Linked DNA regions of Mus musculus. The protein of the gene in region 1 purifies or fractionates together with the protein of each later gene. This does not show direct contact. Links are inferred from orthologs where the notes say so. Each region holds a gene or a part of one and is shown in the gene's direction. Other genes may lie near its edges.

Region 1 (6,031 bases):
TGAGGCAGTCTTTATTGGTCCGTGTTGGAAACACCGGGCTTTGGACTTATAACTGTTCCTCTCTGCTCCCCATCGGGACACAGAGGCATGTCTGTGTGGGATCTGGAGATAAGAACTCAGGACTTTCAAAAAGGGGCTGGGATGGGAGGAACTGGGACAAGTAAAGGGAACAAAAACCATAATCAGGATGTATTAGATGAGAAAAAAAATTGATTTTTAATGAAATGTGGGAAAGGAACTTAGGTCTCAAACTTAGCAAGTTGAGCCATTGGGCCGTCTTGTTAGCCCAGTTTTGGTTTTTTTAAAAATATACAATTTACAAGGACTTCAGAGAGAAAATGGAGGAAAAAGCTTTGTGTATTTACCCCCAAATTGAGCCTTTTTGATTTTGAGTAGTGGTACCAGGAACTAAACCCAGGGCTTTAGGTATGCTAAACATATACTATACACCAGTGACACCCTCTAATTCTCAATTTCCAGTTTTAATTATTTCTAATTATGAGCCCTAGTCATCTTGCCATTATTTTTACCCACACTCACTCAAAAATGTTACACTCGTTACATTGCATTACAATGCTTCATTGTTACATCATATATTCACATACATATATCATGTCATATATCAACAATATACATCATGTCATATATCATATATATCATATCATATATTGTATTGCTATACCATATATCATCTCCTGTTTTATATAGTTTATGTTATGTTTTTCTTATTATAGGTGTCAAACATTTCTGTGGCCAATACCGGTCTATTGAGAAACACAGTCACTTAGAAATGAGGTTTGGAGCTGTGGACTCAGGGGGACTCAAGTTCAAAACCTGTTTTCACTCATGACTGATTGCATACCTCTGCACGTTACTTCACTGGCCAGTGTTGCAGGGTTTCAGCCAACATATGGCCCTCACAGTGTCAAACCCTGTCAGATTAACATCGTGTAAGACTGCCCATTTGAAAAAGCTCTCCCAGGGCTGTGCAGAGAGCCCTAGGTCAGTTGATGACCTAAGCTCATGGGTCTTTTCTATGCTCACGATGATGGGGTTCGGTCCCACTCTCCCTCTCATGCTCACTTAGTGAGGGGGCCCTTCCTTACCTCAAGTTTAGAGACTCACTTACCCACATTCCCTTAAACATATCTTCCTGTCCATCACCGATTTCCCTCATTGCTAATTTAAAACATTAACCTTCTTAATTCTGTGCTTTATTCTCGGTTTAGATGAAATCTCGCACATCCCAGGTTTGTCCTGAACAGCGGAGGATGACCTTGAACCTCTGATCCTTTGCCTTCCCTCCTGGGTGCTGGGGTTACGTGACTGAGGTGCCACATCCAGTTTATACAGCACTAGAAATGGAGTCTAAGATTTTGCAAATGCTGCACAGGAGCCCTAACGACAGAGCCACACGCTCAGGCCCCTCAATTCTGCATTGCATTTCTTCTTGAAATTATTGATGAACACAACCATTTTACTTAATATGATTTGTTGAGACAGGATTTTATACAGCAACACTGATTGACCACACAGCTCAAGATGCCCCCAAACTGGTGTTGATTCTCCTGCCTCAGCCTCCAGAGCTACGACACATTGTTTAATTTTAATACAGATTTTAATATTGTCATGTCATGCTTTTCTGGTATTCATCTTCTTAAAATGTATTTTCTTCATTTTTCTTCACTCTTTCAAAGGGACTTTGGAAATGCTTAGGAATTGGACAGCCATAAAATATATGGAGAGCATGAAAATTTAAGTGTTCAATATGAGAACATCATATGTTTTGTGTAAGTCTCCTTCCCCATGTTGAAGAAAGTTTTGGGGTTTTGTTCCATTCTGTACAGAGCTGGCTAATGCACTTCCCAGAAATCTTACACTGTGGTTCTACGTCTGCTTCTATTATCTCAAGTTTCTGTTTTCACTGATAGTTTCAAAAGAACATATACACCTGTCATCTGCAAATATTTACATTTTGTTTCGTTTAATTGCCAGAAACACCCAGAACAGACATTAAATCGTGCTATGCCAGACGGAAAGGGTGTGATTTAATATCATTATTACTTTATTTTTACACATCATTGACTATTAAAGTTGATGAGTTAGATTCTATTTTCATCTTCATTTTCCGGATAAGACATCCAGGGCATCTAGTCCTGGTTAGGATTCAAGTTCGTGAATCGAGGCCTTCCAGGGTGCAAGTTTCCCTCCACTTGATGCCTCCACGTGTCTCACCGAGTCTCGCCACACGGGGGCGCAACGTGCACGCACTGTGGGACCTCCGAGTCCAAGTTGCTGGGCAGTGGACAGCAGGTGTCAGCAGGCGGCAGTGGCCAAGTGCAGAGAGGGTGTCCTACCACCGGGAGGGGCTGGAGTGGGCAGGACAGCCGCGAAGCAATCATAAGGATGCAAAGTAGACGCGGGAGGGCCATAAAAAGTGGCGGAGAGGGCTCGAGCAGAGCTGAGCAGTTGAGGGCTCCGGGGCGACAGGACAATGGCCCTGGCTGTGCTGCGGTGAGGCACCCAGGGGACCATGAAGGGCAATGTCAGCGAGCTGCTCAATGCCACTCAGCAGGCTCCAGGCGGCGGGGAGGGAGGGAGACCACGACCGTCCTGGCTGGCCTCTACACTGGCCTTCATCCTCATCTTTACCATCGTGGTGGACATTCTGGGCAACCTGCTGGTCATCCTGTCTGTGTACCGCAACAAGAAGCTCAGGAACTCAGGTAGGGGCTCCGGGCACCTTTCCCAGCGCTAGCCCCATTGCGGGACACTGAGAAAACTTCAGAAAGTCCGTTTCTGAGAAATGAGACTTTGGATAATTTTCTCTCCTTTCTCTTGACCCTGTCCCTCTATAAGATGCCTTGACAAAGATCATCCAGGAGTCTTCAGTTCTTAGAGATGTAAAACTCTGTTCCCTCCCACAGCATCTCTTTACTCATCTAGATCAACGAACTCATCATCAGTTGTTTGGATTTGCATAAAATCCATTTCCCCCAACTTCGCAAAAATAGGAGAAGATGCAGAAGCCGCCAAAAACAACAGAGCTACTGCTTGGCTTTTGTTATCAGGTGTGGTTTTCAGCTAACAGCACCAAATTGCAAGGTAGTCTGGGAAGATGCTAAGAATGCTGAGGAAGCACCTTTGTTCCTCAAGTCAAATCTGCATTTTAGAAGATGAAAACTGTAGCGAGAAATGCATTTGCATAGAATATAGGACTAGAGTTAATTCTGTGTTTGAGTTACAGTTGGGGTTCCCTGGAGCAATGAGCTGACCTAGTTACCCTGCGTAAGAGCGTAAGAGCGGGTTGGTCGGTTCTCCCTAAGCTTTTTTATGCCTTCAAACAGCGTCAAGGTTGCTTGGATTTCTGTTCCTGGTTTGGAAGTAAACTTTTGGTAGAAGGGTAGAGGGGAATCCATTTGCTTAAATAAATGGCCCCAAATGATATTTTTGTCCTAAACCAGGTAGCTGGTGAAAACTCAAATTCAGGCAGCATGTGGCTCACCTTTGGCCTAGCTTCTGCAACGCTTCGGGCTGTGCAAAGTACAAGAATTAGTTTGAAAATATCTGATAATGTGAATTCAGTTTGGCTTAGAAAACGGGATGACTTCCTTTCACGGATGATCGGCCTAAACTAGAATCCAGTCTTCAGAATTCAATAGCTTGGTGGTTGTTGTTTGTGGAGCATTGGCAAAGCCCTAGGCTTGGTCTCCACCACTGTAATAAATGAATAGTTGGGATAAGCGAATAGTTGGGGGAGCACACCCCTTCTGAGAGCTAGGAGTCTCCACAAGCTGCACTGGGACCCTGAGCACCCATACAGAAAGTCCTTGAGTGAGCCCAAGGGTCGGGCATCAGACTCATTCACTTTACAGAGAAGGGTGTAGTGAGGCTCAGTAGTGGGAGGCTCTAATTCTTGGGGTTCCTGCCTGGAGCTCACCTACCTTGCTCCATTGGTCTCTATAACCTTTACTTGAGAAGTCTGAATCCTATGAGACATTTCCTATAAAAGGTGTTCACGATTCTGGTGGCTTGGGAAAAGTACCCCAACTGTCCTACTATTTTGAACATTATTGTCTAAGCAACTTCTTGAGTCCATATACTGCATTCCTCTCACTGTACAGAAGACCCTTGGTGAGTTTTAATTTGCAAAGCTTTAGAGCATCATATTTATATAACTAGACTACTGGCTCAAACACACCATCATTGAGTTCAAACCATTTGAGGCTCTTTTTTTTTTTTTTTTTTTTTTTTAAGAATAAATAGTGATTTGGACCATAGCTAGAGCTAGCTGATTCAAGCATACTGTTAGATGCCTATTAAAAGTTTCAGAGGTGCCAAGTGCACACATTGAATCTCAGTGCTTGGGAATAGAAGGCAGCTGGGTCTCTATGAGTCTGAAGCCAGCCTGGTCTACAGATTGAGTTCCAGGCAAACTAAATAAATGTTTTAATGATTGCGCAATTTGTATATTTGTTCAATTTATCTTGTTGGTTTTAAAAACGGGAAGATGAAAAAAATATCAACCTGGACGGACGACTCGGTGACTGTCCTTACAGAGGTCCCAGGTTCAGTTCCCAGCATTCAGATGGCAGCTCACATCCATTGGTAACTCCAAGTCCCAGAGATCCTACAAACTCTCCTGACATCCACGGGTACCAGGCATGCGCGTGGTACACATACCCACATGGAGGCAAACACTCATACATATAAAAACAAAAACATCCTCTTTTTGAAAAGGGGAAAGTTGAGAAACAGAGAGGAAAAAGATAAGGTTAGCACATCTGAGTTCCAAAGCAGTTCTTTCCTTCGGAAGTCTGGTACCATGGCAGAATTATTTCTGCCCTCTTCCTTTTCTCAAGAGACTACATTTGCCTTTGATGTCTTCAGGAAGAAATCTCTGATATTTTATCACCGGTGGGGCCGGTCAATCATAACAGGCACTGCCTTCAAGCAACCAAGCAGATGTGAAAGGTTGACAGACTGTCTGCTCTGCTCCCGTGCAAATTTTGCTAACGAGAAATGGTGCATCTAAAGTGGGTATAAGATTCTCACTGTATACATACCAATCCAGGAAATCAGTTGTGATCCACCCTCACTTTCCACATCTGTCAGACAGGGATAACACCTACATCCTTGCCCCCCACAAAGCTTTGTCGTAATTGTTGCAAGTATCAAATGAAATGATGAAAACGAAAATATTTTGAAAAAGATGGAGAAAGTAATACTAAATAGGCATTTGAACATTATTATTGTTATTGTTATTATTATTATTATCTTTCTTTTGGCTTGCTAAAAAGCAGAGCTGCATTTTTCTCTATGTACATTACACTTAATTAAACCTTTTCCTAAAATAATATTCTGCCTGTTCAAAATTCAGTTATCTGTCTATTCAAGCTGTATAGTATATAAACAAAAGATGAATGTTAACAATATGTTAGACTCTTAGGTATAGCCTGTTGGGCTCTATAGAAAATTCAGAATTCTATAAAGCTTCCATACTAGGGACTCAGTGCCCATGATTGTGAGCATCAAGAAGGTTTGCTGCACATCAGGAGAGAGCACACTGTGGCAGACAACATCATGGATAAACTCAATCCAAGCACTCCTGGAAAACGGAGTGAATGTGTGTTTTTGTGGTGCTCGCTGCAGAAGCAGATAGGTGCTCTGCTCAGATCTGAAAACACTACAGAACAAGGGCCTGGTTGCTAATTATGACGTGTGTCCCTCTACGGAAGACCCCATGCTATCATTATTGGTGTTAAATTTGAATGTATAGCAGGGCAAGTAAAACATGTGTAATTGAAGGTAATGTTGCTCCGCCCCCAGAGTGACTCTCTAGCCACAGACATAGTTGACAGCACTCTGCACCCTCAATAAACCACCCATCTTACTCCAAGTTCCAAGCCCCCTTGGGAGTCAACAAGAATGAGACAGAGTAGGGAGTGAATTTCACGCCAGGGATAGGTTGAAAGCAAATAAGGTGAACTCTTCATATCTCCAGGAGTCCACATCCAGAGATCAACCAATT
Region 2 (3,500 bases), on another chromosome or scaffold:
AAACAAAACAAAACAAAAGAATTATAAGAATGAAAAAAATTGGCCATGTTGATGAACAGTTGGTAATTCCAGGCGGGAAGTTGAGAAATTTAAGGTCATCTTTGACTGCATTACAAATTTGAAGCCAACCTGGTCTACATGAAACCTTGGCACACAGTGGGTGCTTGTCACAACTTTGCCGTCATTATTATTGATGGTGTTTTTGTTAATACGTTAGCCCTATTATATGATCTGGATAGAAGGACAGAGTTCCCAAGTTCAACCCACTCATAGGTCAGTCCTGTGAACAGAACACAGGGCAGGGTTTCCCAGGAAAGAGGACAGGATGAATAGCAAGAAGCAGGCAGTACCTGGAAGGTACAGGAATGAAGCTGGTGAGGGGACAGGCAGAGGCTGGGATGGAGGCTGGGCTCATCTTGGCATTATGGTGTCATCTTAAATGCGGGCTGCATGATCCTGCTCCAAGAATGTTCGCTTCTGAACTTCAGTGCCTTCTGTAAAGTGAGATCAGAAAAGATTGGTTTAATGGAGTTGCTGTGGCAAACACAGAAGAGACCAACAAACCTCAGAACCAGTCACAGAGAAATGAGGACAGGGGTTCTGCCAACCTAGAGAGGCTTGAGTCAGTGTTTGTGTGTGTGTGTGTGTGTGTGTTTCTATTTTCCATCTGTTTAGGACAGAGCTGATCCAGAAAGCAGAGGGCTAGGTCTTGGGCCATGTCCAAAGGACAGGAATGTGACTCTGGTCCTTGTAGGTTACTTAGCAGCTAAATCTCAGAGTTTGGGAACAGGAGCATTTCCTGCCCTTTTGCAATATGCAGGGTACCTTCCAGCCAGCCCTGCCTTGCTCTTTTTTTTTTAAGATTTATTTATTATTATATGTAAATACACTGTAGCTGACTTCAGACACACCAGAAGAGGGCATCAGATCTCATTATGGGTGGTTGTGAGCCATCACGTGGTTGCTGGAATTTGAACTCAAGACCTTCGGAAGAGCAGTCAGTGCTCTTACCCGCCAAGCCATCTCGCCAGCCCCCCTGCCTTGCTCTTGCACAGGGTGGTAAGCCTGTGTTTGTGAGAGTAGAGAATGTGGACCTAAGACCTTGGCTAACTCCCTGAACTCATACAGGACAGAGGTGGGGGCATGGCGGGATCCCTGACAGACAGTGGACCTTAGGGAAGCAGAGGCCTGCATGGAGCCTGCCAAGGAGCAGAAGCTATAGGTTTCCTTAGTCACTGTGGCCCCTGTAAGCCACCGGCTGTCTCACTGTGCCACCGATGTGTAGAAGGTAGGAAGTACCTTCAGTGATAATGGCAAGGCTGTTTGCATATGGAGCCCACTGGGCTTGTCCTCTCCTCCTCATCTCTGCCCTCTGTTCCAGGTGCTGGAGAGTCAGGGAAGAGCACCATCGTCAAGCAGATGAAGTAAGTGGTGTGCAGAAGTCACCAAAGTTTGACCATCATCTTCCTCTGGGCCTGTCCCGTCTCCCCTGCTTGGTCTCCACCTGTCCCAGAGGGCCCCATTGCTACTTATATCAATATGACTCTGTAGGCCAGGGGCTGTTCCCCCTCTTTGGAGTAGTCCCCGGCAGTTCCCGGGTAGCTGTGGGATTTCTTGTGGCTGGTGGATCATAACTTATGACCTCTGTTTATCAGGATCATCCATGAAGATGGCTACTCAGAAGAGGAGTGCCGGCAGTACCGTGCCGTGGTCTACAGCAACACCATCCAGTCTATCATGGCCATCGTGAAGGCCATGGGCAACCTGCAGATCGACTTTGCTGATCCCCAGCGTGCGGTGCGTGCCCTTCCTCCACCCCTTCCTCTCTGCCTGGCTCCCAGAAGCCTTCAGGGCAAGTCTTGTCCTAGGGAGCCTGAGAGTACACCAGTCTGGGCCCTGTTCTAGAATATTCCCTGCTCTCTAATCATCGGGAGGGCGTTTGTTCCTTTACCTGTCTGTCTGTCTGACCTCCATTTCTGTGCTCAGGATGATGCCAGGCAGCTGTTCGCCCTGTCCTGTGCTGCAGAGGAACAAGGGATGCTTCCTGAAGACCTGTCCGGTGTCATCCGGAGGCTCTGGGCTGACCACGGTGTGCAAGCCTGCTTTGGCCGCTCACGAGAATACCAGCTCAATGACTCAGCCGCTTAGTGAGTACCGCAAGGGACTGGGCACGGCAGGCGCTCCCAGGGTAGAAGCTGATGACTGCCCACCGAGGCTTTGGGAGTGGAGTAGGTTGGATGGAAACTCTGGGATAGCATGCTGTCGGAAGGCCTGGAGAAACGACAGCCATGGTGGCTTTCAGGCTCCTTATCTGTCTTCACACATGATCGTTCTGAAGAACGTTTGCAGCCACCTGCTCCGTGCAGAGTGTCAGGGACACAGTGATGAGTGCAAAGAACAGGTCCTTAAGCAATGACAGCTGAAGGTGTCAGTAGGAAATCAAGAGTGGGAGGGGTTTGAGGCCGGGGCATGACATATGTTAAACTCCAGGCTGTCACTGAGGATACAGGAGTTCAGGCCTGTTGCTCAGAGCCCCACAGAGACGGAAGAGGCTGTCTTTGAGGTGACGGATGTGTGCACAAGCTGGAGCCTGGACTTTGCTTCTGACCTTTTCTGGATCTGAGCCAAGCCCAGGACTCAGCTAGAGAATCAGAGTGTCCCAGGAATTTCAGAGGCGCAGCAGGCCTGGATCCTTTAGGCCAGAACACAATTCTGAATTCCCCTGCAGTCCAGCAGTGTGTCTGTCAGGACTGGGCAGGGTGCTGAACTCCCTGTCCCTGCTTCTGCTTCTCTTAGCCAGCCAGCCTCCAGCCCAGCCCTGCCCCTCCAGGTCCCTATTGCCCATCAGATCTTGAGCCTGCTCAGCAAGGCTAGACCTCACAGGAGTTAGGTAGATCTGCCTAGTTAGGATTCCCAAGTCCTGCTTCAGTCACGTGACCAGGCTTCTTCTGTCCTCTCTAACTTCCCTTGTGTCATTCCTACCCTCGGGGAGTTTTGGGATCATAGCCAAATCTGCGGAGGCCTCCGGGCTTCAGCACTGCCCCACCCCGAAATCACGGGCTTAGCCACCAGCTGAATTACAGAGGCAGGGAGGGGGTGAGCCCTGTCAACTTACTAGTTGACAACCAAAACTACTTCGTTGTCCCCAGTACTCAAGGAGGGAAGGATGGCGCCATGTCCTGCCCCCTCTCCACTTCCTCCGCTTTCCTTTTTCTTTATTCTCCACCTTCTTCCTATTGCACGCCTGCCTCTGCTCTAGGAGTTGGGGTGGTCACCACAGGGCCTGCTCAGCCAGAGTGCTTTTTGCCTCCACAGGCTCATCTTCAGGAGGAGTATGGGGCGATACTCTAAGCTTTACCACAGGCTAGACCCCAGGAGAGCAGAGGCTCCTAGGGTGAGGCCACCTGCTGAGAAGATAGAAATTGGTGTGGAACTCACCTTGAGGTTTCAGGCTAGGGGCTCCGTCCACAGGGGATGGAGCCTGGTACGCAGGTCACAGC
Region 3 (3,500 bases), on another chromosome or scaffold:
GAAGACAGTTGCATGTAAGAAATGGAGAAGGGGCATGTGGCAGCTGTGGAATTTAACGTACTAGCAGGGAGAGGCTGGCCCTGTGTCGAGCTAGTGACAAGTGGCCTTGGGCACATGGTGTATGAACAGCAGTCTAGCAGCAGTGTAGTGAGGACGGCAGTAAGGACTGCCTTCGGATGCAGATACAACCTTTCAGTGAGAGCCAGGATGGCATCTTAAAAGCCAAGGACAAGGATATGGGTGGGGCTAGGAGTGAAAGTCAGACTGTGAAGTCAGTGCCAGTGCGAGGGAGGCACCTCTAAAGGAGGTCACTTCATCTCTGTCTCTTTCCTTGGCTCCATGTCTATTCTTCTCTGTCCCCACTAATGTCCTTTACTATTCAGTTTATAAGATGAAGGATGGCATTGCCACCATTTCTGTGTCTCTTCCATTAAAACAATGAGGTCATACTGGGTTTGCTTGACTTCCAATTCAAGTTTCTCTGGGAAAGATTCTGGTTATAGCTAAAGAAGGTAAAACGCTGTGGGCCAGTCGGCTATTTGAAATTAGGGATCACAGACAACAATGGCAGAACTGTGCCATTATGAAAGCTGTGACCAGATGGCCAGAGTGAGAAGGGGACTCTCTGAGCTGTTTCCGTGGATGGGGGCTCTCACTATCTGAGACTCTGCTTTCTTTTGAGAATACAGTGAAAGGTTCAGCAAACATTAGAAAGTCAAAGGTGTCTTCACTCAAGTCTCTCAGTTGGATACTTTGCTATGATCTGAATTTATATTTTGGAATGTTGTTTTAGAAGTATCTGTAGAATAACCAGATAGAAGTGTCTGTTTGGTAGTGATCCTTATACTAGGGACTTAGGGAAAGGTTAGCTTAGATGTATAAACCTGAGAACAGCAGTAATTAACTTATTGGAGATAAATGAAGTTACCAGAGAGATGACTATAAAATGAGGCGAGAAACGATAAAATGAGACAAATACTAGCTACCAACAGGAGAGAAATAAAGGTTTATAAAGGATACAAAAGAAAAGAACCAGAATCTCTTAGAAAGTAAGGGGAGTGGACAGTGAGGTGGCCCATCGGATAAGGTGCGTGCCTCCAAACCTGATGACCTGAGTTCAGCTCCTGGACTTGGATTACAGGAGGGAACTGACTCCCATAAGATGCCAGCCTTGTGGAGAGTGAAGACTACACAGAGAAACCCTGTCTTGAAAAACCAAGATGGGAGGGGGGTTGCGAGCTCTAGGCACCTAACAAAGTAGTCTTCCTTTAGTTCTGTATTTCATGTGTTCTTTCTTTCTCCCAGGCTTCTTTATGTACTTACTTGATATTTCTTGCCATGCTTGATCTCACCCAAAATAGGCTCTGGTTTATGAAAACAGTGTACATTGTTTTGACAGTGTCCTTGACGCTACAGGCGGTTTCTAAGACCGTGTGGAAAGTGGACGACTGAGTGTTAATTATATATATTAAAAAGAAGGCTTTCTGTTGGTCTCCTCGTGCCCCTACTCCTTAGAAAGCAGCTGCTTGTTGAGACAGACTTATCCTTTAAAGTGTGTTACTGGCTGTGGATGGGCACCGTGCCTGCATCCCAGCACTTGGGAGGGCGAGGTAGGAAGCCATGAGTTTGAAGGCGGTGCCGGGTGAGGAGAGGTGTCAGAGTCTATAACTGGGGTCCCACTTGTTCCCCATCTGTTAGTTTGCCTTTGCTGGTGCCTCTCTAGGATTGGAATGATGTTTAAATAAATGCTTTACCTGTTGGGAGCCCTTCGTCCAGGGTCACTCCAAGGTCAGGGTCTCAGAGGAAGTGAAACTTGTTTTCCTCATCCCTTGAGCATGATGGTTTGGTTTTAGTGTCCGTGTGAGTCTTTCTTATGAAAAATCCAATGACTGCAGAAAATCCTAAGGGTAATAGAAATAGAGGCAGAATTCTGTTTGTAGTCAGTTGTGTGGTGTTGCTTTCCGTAAGTAAATGCTGATGGCCTAACTTAGCTGGGTGCAGGCAGCTGTTACACTTGACAATGTTGGTCGTCTGCCTCAGGTTCCAATACATACGAAGAGGCAGCTGCTTACATTCAGTGCCAGTTTGAAGATCTGAACCGAAGAAAAGATACCAAGGAGGTCTACACTCACTTCACCTGTGCCACAGACACCAAAAATGTGCAGTTTGTTTTTGATGCTGTTACGGATGTCATCATTAAAAACAACTTAAAGGAATGTGGGCTTTATTGAGAGGATGGCATAGTAAAAGGTAAAACTTGAGACAGTTTAGTTACCACTGGGGGCGGGGTAGCTTTGTAAATGTTTTTCTGATTAACAATGTCTTCTCTTTTTTAGCTATTACAGGGAGGAGTGTTGAGACCAGATGTCATCTACTGTCTCTTGGGTCAGCAGCACGCATGACAGGACCAAGGAATGGCAGCAACACGCAGAATCTTAGCTAGCGCTCTCCAGCAGTCTTCTCTATTAGGGAATGTCTAATTGGCATGAGATGTTCAAATCAGACCTGGGATTGGACAACTGTAAAGTATGACTGGATCGTCAGGGCGTCGCTTGGACTCTGTAATCTAATGTTTAGGGCATATTGAAGTTGAGGTGCTGCCTTCCAGAACTTAAACATGTAGCTCACTTTCCCCCATCTTTTTGACAAATGACCAGTAGTTAATTTCTAAGGTTTTTCTTATCAAGAGAAGAATACTTAAAAACTCTTCCTTGTTTGCAAAAGAAACTTCTGAGGACTGAGTCTTAACTATGCACACAATGTCACCAGACATCTTGAAACTATTCCTCTTAGTAGGAACTGTTTGTTTTTAACTCTTGGAATGGTCGGGAGTAATATTTCAATAATTAAAATTCTTCCTGGTTATTGGGACTATATTAATAGAGCTTTTCGGAATGAAATTTATGTTACTGTCATGTTTAAAGTACCACAATGGTTTCTAAACAGCATTCACCTTGGAGAGTTCTACAGTACGATTCCTGCTCTCATTGCTTTACGCTTACGGTTGGAAGTTGTATTTGTCGGGGTTAACCTTGTTTGTGCTGATTACCAAATTACTAGATGAATACTGATGTAGTGTGTTAAACTGCTTCTTGGACACACGCAGGATAGCCGTCAATGAGATGCAGATGCTAAATTGAGAACCAGTGGCTTGCTGCTACAGGTCTACTAAGTTGACCACATGGAATCTTGCCTGTTTGTCTCGGTCATGGGGAGGTTTTGAATAAGATGCCCCTTGTTTTCCATCTTCGTGGCCTTTTTTGTTAGGAGACATCTAAAAGTGTATTAACAGTGCATGCTTTTCCTTTGTAAATGTGGTGCCAAATCCCTGTTTGCCATCGTTTTTACTGTAGCAATGTTAACTGTAGTAGTAGTCCTTACTATATTCTTTTTCTAAAACTTGCATTTGGGGACTTTTTCCACCTTGTCGTGTACAGATTTGAATCTGTTACAGTTGGCAGCAGTATTAAAACAAACGGTGAGTGAAGAGCCTACGGTTG

Evidence for each region. The genes of interacting proteins can lie anywhere in the genome.
Region 2: the proteins of Mtnr1a (region 1) and Gnai2 purify together in Homo sapiens (tandem affinity purification; 3 studies listed by BioGRID and IntAct, with this or other methods). This does not show direct contact. The link is inferred for Mus musculus from reciprocal best matches to the Homo sapiens genes MTNR1A and GNAI2.
Region 3: the proteins of Mtnr1a (region 1) and Gnai3 purify together in Homo sapiens (tandem affinity purification; 3 studies listed by BioGRID and IntAct, with this or other methods). This does not show direct contact. The link is inferred for Mus musculus from reciprocal best matches to the Homo sapiens genes MTNR1A and GNAI3.

The regions. Positions count from the first base shown.
Region 1 is NC_000074.6:45,066,677-45,072,707, forward strand, and holds the start of Mtnr1a (melatonin receptor type 1A), read left to right. Parts: upstream 1-2,430; 5' UTR 2,431-2,533; coding exon 2,534-2,726; intron 2,727-6,031.
Region 2 is NC_000075.6:107,618,344-107,621,843, reverse strand, and holds part of Gnai2 (guanine nucleotide-binding protein G(i) subunit alpha-2), read left to right. Parts: intron 1-1,381; coding exon 1,382-1,424; intron 1,425-1,655; coding exon 1,656-1,797; intron 1,798-1,986; coding exon 1,987-2,147; intron 2,148-3,500. UniProt on the Homo sapiens protein: Guanine nucleotide-binding proteins (G proteins) are involved as modulators or transducers in various transmembrane signaling systems.
Region 3 is NC_000069.6:108,108,153-108,111,652, reverse strand, and holds part of Gnai3 (guanine nucleotide-binding protein G(i) subunit alpha), read left to right. Parts: intron 1-2,040; coding exon 2,041-2,231; 3' UTR 2,232-2,250; intron 2,251-2,336; 3' UTR 2,337-3,500. UniProt on the Homo sapiens protein: Heterotrimeric guanine nucleotide-binding proteins (G proteins) function as transducers downstream of G protein-coupled receptors (GPCRs) in numerous signaling cascades.